Caenorhabditis elegans: one gene and its partner. The protein of the gene in region 1 interacts with the protein of each later gene in a pairwise test. Each region holds a gene or a part of one and is shown in the gene's direction. Other genes may lie near its edges.

What was found.
Region 2: the proteins of his-46 (region 1) and cpar-1 interact in a two-hybrid assay, tested with the Caenorhabditis elegans proteins (one large-scale study listed by BioGRID).

The regions. Positions count from the first base shown.
Region 1 is NC_003282.8:11,325,416-11,328,144, reverse strand, and holds his-46 (Histone H4), read left to right. Parts: upstream 1-1,815; coding exon 1,816-2,127; downstream 2,128-2,729. Other genes in the region: leo-1 (RNA polymerase-associated protein LEO1), read left to right, coding at 1-169, 240-379; B0035.21 (Kinesin motor domain-containing protein), read right to left, coding at 576-639, 686-789; his-45 (Histone H3), read right to left, coding at 1,147-1,557. UniProt on the Caenorhabditis elegans protein: Core component of nucleosome. Nucleosomes wrap and compact DNA into chromatin, limiting DNA accessibility to the cellular machineries which require DNA as a template.
Region 2 is NC_003281.10:9,432,236-9,435,927, forward strand, and holds cpar-1 (Histone H3-like centromeric protein cpar-1), read left to right. Parts: upstream 1-1,821; 5' UTR 1,822-1,838; coding exon 1,839-1,930; intron 1,931-1,977; coding exon 1,978-2,125; intron 2,126-2,177; coding exon 2,178-2,498; intron 2,499-2,546; coding exon 2,547-2,771; 3' UTR 2,772-2,865; downstream 2,866-3,692. Other genes in the region: emb-30 (Abnormal embryogenesis protein 30), read right to left, coding at 3,429-3,692. UniProt on the Caenorhabditis elegans protein: Histone H3-like variant which exclusively replaces conventional H3 in the nucleosome core of centromeric chromatin at the inner plate of the kinetochore.

The DNA.
Region 1 (2,729 bases):
GAGAATGCCCGGAAGGAGGAAGAATCACTTCGTGCACACATCCGACGTACTCAGATGGTTCGGAATAACTTTAAAGTTCGTGGTCCGAGATATGCAGGACAATATTCTGATGATGAAGATATGCCAACGTCATCCAGAAAAGGAAAGAAGAAGGAAGCACCAATTATTGGTAAGTTCAATTTAATTTTGATTAGGACTTTACCAGAATAAAGAAACTGTACTACAATAATATATTTCAGGTGCCAGCTCAGAAAGTGAGGACGATCATGCGGATACCACAAAGAAAAGCGGATCGGATAGCGATTCTGATGAAGAGTACCGAAAGAGAAAACAACAACAAAAGAAACAGATTGTCACCAGTGACGAAGAATCTGACTAAATTTATTTCAATTTTGATCCTCACAATTTTATATTTCGCGAATTCAATATTTCTCCCTTTACAATATTTCGAAAATGTTTTCCTTTCCTTATTTATTTTAGTCTTCGATATTTCGAGATAATGAAACATCCACAATATTATGAAAAACCGAGCTTTTATTTCTTAATTTCAATCAGATTGTATGTAATATTTAAAATCATACATCCACTACGTCTTCCTCGCTTCTCAAAGAATTGGCATCAAGTGTCGTATCATAAATTCTGAAACTTGAAATAATCTACGATTTCAGAATTCTCAAAATCAAACCTCCGTGTTTTATCGTTTTCCATTGCTCTTGGGGAAATCGATACATTTAATATCAACTGAGCTTCTTCTTGATTTCCAGAGCTTCTCGATCGCAGTAAAAACATCAATATAATGATTTGAAAGAAGATTCCATAAATTAAAATTCGAAAAACTATAGGTTTTGACTTTTGATTCCAGAGTATTTTAAACATCTTTGTGGAAAATGTAGGAAATGATTTTTCACGTTTGATAAAGAAACTGACTAATAAATTTTTACATCTAACAACAAATCTTTGAATCAATCATATTATAATATACACGGAACCACTATGTCCGAAAGATTTAAAATTTAAAAAAATTGAAATTGAAAAAAGTATTCATTGAATATTAAAATGGATTTGAGGATATTTGTGGCCCTAAAGAGGGCCGTTGGGTTCGGTTAAGTTTTGAGATTAAGCTTGCTCAACTACCAAAAAAGGTATTTAAGCGCGCTCTCCTCGGATGCGTCTGGCCAATTGGATATCCTTTGGCATGATGGTGACTCGCTTAGCGTGGATGGCACACAAGTTGGTGTCCTCGAAGAGTCCGACAAGGTAAGCCTCGGCAGCCTCCTGAAGAGCCATGACAGCGGAAGATTGGAATCGAAGATCGGTCTTGAAATCCTGAGCAATCTCACGAACAAGGCGCTGGAATGGTGCTCTGCGGATTAGAAGTTCGGTTGATTTCTGGTAACGTCTGATCTCACGAAGAGCGACGGTTCCTGGGCGATAACGATGTGGTTTCTTGACTCCTCCGGAAGCTGGAGCCGATTTGCGGGCAGCTTTGGTGGCCAATTGCTTTCTTGGAGCCTTTCCTCCGGTCGATTTACGGGCGGTTTGCTTGGTACGAGCCATTGCGTTTAGGTTGATAATCCGTGGGGACTGTAAAAAAGAGAAACCAACGACTGCCTTTGTACGCAGCTGCGGTGGGAGGGCGGGCGGGCGCACTTCTGTCCTTGTGGCAATTAGAACATTCGGTGTGTTACAGACAAAGGAAAGGTGTCCTCGCAGAGTGGTGCAATGTGACTCCGCCTAGCCACCACAGCTGTGTACAAAAGGAATACTGTGATGTCATTTCTTCATCTCACTTGTGAGTCTTCAACGAATTCAACAATGTCCGGACGTGGAAAGGGAGGAAAAGGCCTTGGAAAAGGTGGTGCCAAGCGCCATCGCAAAGTTCTCCGTGATAACATCCAAGGTATCACCAAGCCAGCCATTCGCCGTCTCGCCAGAAGAGGAGGAGTCAAGAGAATCTCCGGATTGATCTACGAGGAAACCCGTGGAGTCTTGAAGGTGTTCCTTGAGAACGTCATCCGTGATGCTGTCACCTACTGCGAGCACGCCAAGAGAAAGACCGTCACCGCCATGGACGTCGTCTACGCTCTGAAGCGCCAAGGAAGAACTCTGTACGGATTCGGAGGATAATTATTATCTTTTCTGTTTTCATACAAACCAAATACCGAACCCAACGGCCCTCTTTAGGGCCACAAATATCCAAAATCCTAATTGATCTCGTTAAATAAATCTTAAATAATTTTGATTTTTCTATTTTAGCATTTTCAAATACAAGTTGACATGATATTTTCTTTATTGCTTTGCACAACTACATACTTTTTTTAAATTTAAAATTAGAATTGCATGCAAGTAGACATTCGGTATTCGATTTTCTTCGTTCGTTCTCAATTTTATTTACAAAAGGGTATATGAAAGTCTGCACAGTTTTGTTTCCCGAACCATATGAATTCACTTTATAATTCAAGTTGGTGATCGAAATGATTTAGATATCCAAGAACATGAAGCGGAAGAAAGCTTGAAGCCTGAAAACCAGTGCCTGAATCATATATCTCGCCTGATATCGGAAATCAAGTAATTATTTCATAGCGTTTTTTCAAACTTCTTGTAATTTGATGTAGTAATAGTTTTTCATAACATTTTTCAACCAATTTTGTGAGATGACCCGAGATTTTTCCAACAAGATTGAAAACCGAAAGTTTTTATAAGCCTCGGCCATTAGCTTCCCTTTCTCT
Region 2 (3,692 bases), on another chromosome or scaffold:
GTTCAAACTTCCGTCAAAGCAATCTCAAAGCAAAAAATCTCCAAAAAAAGTGATCTCATAATGAGCATCATAGTAAATATACAAATTAGGAAATGTCTATGAGGTGCTTCTTCTTGAACAAATTTTTGCTAAATCTAAATGTATAGTTTAAAAACGGTTTATCCATAATCATATTTAGTATCTACCACAAGATTAGCTTCGCACGTACATTACCTGTTCGATGGTCATCTAGTTTTCAATTAATAAAGAATACGCTTGAAATGTGTTATTATTGGCTTTTCAGGGGAGATTGAGAAGACTCAAAATGTCATTTAATAATAGAAAATTAAATGAATCAGCAATGAATACAATACGGCTTCTGACTTTTTAGCATTGGTTGGAGGAACTAATAAGCCTTCAAGCTACACGGTTAGGAACGTAAAATTTTAGTAATAATTCAGGTTTCCAGAATTCCAGTCTGTCGAGGTCAAAAAGAAGATTGTTCAAGCGACAAATTTATTCAGAACATGAACTTACTTTTTTCGGTTAATACAGGTAAAGAGATTTGAGAAGCCAAATCCTCATTTACTAACGGTGGCTCATTTACTTTGACGCTCATTTACTAATGTTTTCACTTCCGCTCGTTTACTATCGAACGGCTCATTTACTAATTTACTAAGATTTACTCATTTCCTAGAACTAAATTACTTTTTAACAAGAGGTGGCTCTAAATTTGGTGATTTTTTTTCAAAGTGAAACTCCTATCTTTTCTCAATAGTAAGTAAAATTAAAAATGTGTCCAAACCCTAGGAATATGAAATTTTATTTCAACTAGGTTACCAAGAGACTTTTGACTTTGAAATTCTATTCATTTAAACGTTGAAGTGAAGTGTTAAACGAATGTACCACGCACTTTTTGGTAATTTACCAAAACAGGGCAGTATGAATAAAATCTTGCATGCAAGACTGATATAGGAAATACGGTAAATTACTATGATCCTTTTTCTTATATTTTTGATAAAGCGAAAATGCCAAACTCAGCTTGGGCTCCTACATTCATTTTAACACTCAACTTCAACCTTTAAATTAATAGAATTTCGAATTCAAAAGTGTCTTTGTAACCTAATTGAACTGAATTTTCATATATCGTTTGAGGTCTAAATACAAAAATTATTTTCTCTCACCGAAGTACTTATATATATATATATATCGACTCGTGAGTTTCAACAGTTCGTCTCTTTAAAATGTTCCCCGGTTTTCTGGAACCAAAAAGACCAAAAAATAAATTACAACACTGATTCAACAAATAAACAAAGAAGAACAAAAAACCTTCCGTTCATTCAATTTTTATTATTTTATGAAAGATCAACAGAATATTTCAAGAAAAATTTCCGTTTTGTTCCGTTTGAAATCAAAATTTGATTTCTTTTTGGTTTTTTTGAAAAATTCGCTTTTTTGTTTTTTGTTTTTTGGGCGGAAATTATTTTTTGCAACAGCCCTGTTCCCTGTTTAGCTAAAAGTATTATTTCTAGACCTACTTTGATAATCGTCTTCCGCGCAAGCGGAAATGGCTGGCGCATCTCTCGTGTTACTTGCGCATTTTCTTTTCAAAGTGCGAAAATTTGATTTTTCTTCCAGAATTTTCTAATTTTTGCTGATTTTGTGACTCTCAGATTATTTTCACCGGAAATATGTTTTGCCATTTTCGTATTTCAATGGTTCTCCTGCCGCCAATCGTTCCTTATTTAAACTGCGTTCGTTTTTATTGCTTCTTTAATTCCTTTTAACCTTCAAACAAATTGTCTTAATTTAGCTTCAGTTTTTTAAATTTTATATTTTAACAGGATAATCTTCGAACAATGGCCGATGACGGACCAATTATTGAGGAAATTGCCGAGAAGAATGGGAGGGTGGCAAGGATCATGCAACGTCTCCAACATGACACACAAAGGTAATTATTTTTGTTTTCGTGCTACAAATTAATGTATGGTGTTTCAGAGTCACTTCAGTGCCGGGCTTCAACACAAGCGCCACAGGATACGCTGACCTTATCGCTCTTCTGGATCAGTATAAGAACGACCTTGAGGCTGTTGGATTCAACGACTTAGAGCAAGCTCGAAGAAGAGCTCCTTCTGTGGATATTACGGTTAGTTTCAAATTTGTGTGAGAAATTTCAAACAACATAATATTTGTTTCAGGTCGGCAGTAATTCAACTAATCTTGTCGATTACTCCCACGGCCGTCATGATATGCCCTCACACCGTCGACACGATAGCTCCGATGAAGAAATCACGGCAGCCAACAGTCACCATCAGTCACCAATAAATGTGGGGAATCGTAATGACACGGATGGTACAAATGGCAGAAATGGAAGTAGAGCTGGTTCATCGAGCTCCGATCGCGTGCGGATGATAGCCGGAAGGAACAGAATCTCGAAAACGAGACGTTATAGACCGGGCCAGAAGGCATTGGAAGAGATTCGCAAATACCAAGAATCTGAAGACCTTCTGATTCCAAAGGTATATATTTTTTACTACATTCCACATTTAAACAATTCCAAATTTCAGGCTCCGTTCGCACGCCTCGTCCGCGAAATTATGCAGACTTCCACTCCATTTTCCTCAGACCTTCGCATTCGTTCTGACGCCATCAATGCTCTTCAGGAAGCATCGGAAGCACTGTTGGTCCAAATGTTCGATGGTTCATCACTCATTTCCGCCCATTCCAAACGTGCCACACTGACGACTACAGACGTGCAGCTTTACCGCCGTCTTTGCCTTCCAAATCTCTGATTAAAAAATTTGCAATACTAATCACTAACTGTAAATTGTTTATTTATTTATATTGTAAAAATTTATTGCATGAAAATGAATTTATTGTATTTAATCACTTGTTCGAGTATGAATAGCTCGAAGCTTATGATAGACTCCTTCGCAGCATCTTTGCACAATGTCTGACAGAATCTGTTTGGCCCAGTGATAAATTGCCCTGAAATTGAAACCTCTTGTTAAAAAGGAATTTAGTTCTAGAAAATGAGTAAATCTTAGGCGAAAATTCTTAATTTTTTTGGAAAGTTGTAGTTTTGCAATCAATTTGAATGTAGGACTTTTCAGATTTTTTTAAAATTTAAATTATTACTTGCACCTTGTTTTCAAGCGACGTTTTTTTCTACGCCCTCGTAAGATATCAGCTTCCTGATTATAAAAAATAAAGATGAATTATTGAAAACTTGAAAACTTTGAAACTCAAGCCTTACATTTGCATCAAACTAAAACTAGAAGAAACGAGTTTTGACTAAAAACACGTTTATAGGTGCCCGCAAAAAGCAAAATGAGATTGTAAGAGGGAAAGCCAAGAAAAGAAATGCAATAGATTGGAAAGGAGAAATAATTTCAAAGTAATACGAAATATAAACATAGAAATGCAATAATTTATCCATCGATTGGAAACTAAATGTCATCATCTTCTTCATCCTCATCTGATTCTCCATTATCCGTCAAGTCACGTCCACTATCCATAGCTTCTTGAACAAGAACATCATACTGAACATCATTCATGTTCATTACTCCCATATCTTCCCGATATCGTTCTCGACGTCTCTGATAGTCGCGGAAAGTTTTTCGAACAGTCTTCTCCTCATAGTCAGCGATCGGTGGAACCTCTGGTTTCATGTCTCCAATCGTGATTTTACTTCCGTCATCGTGAAGATAGGC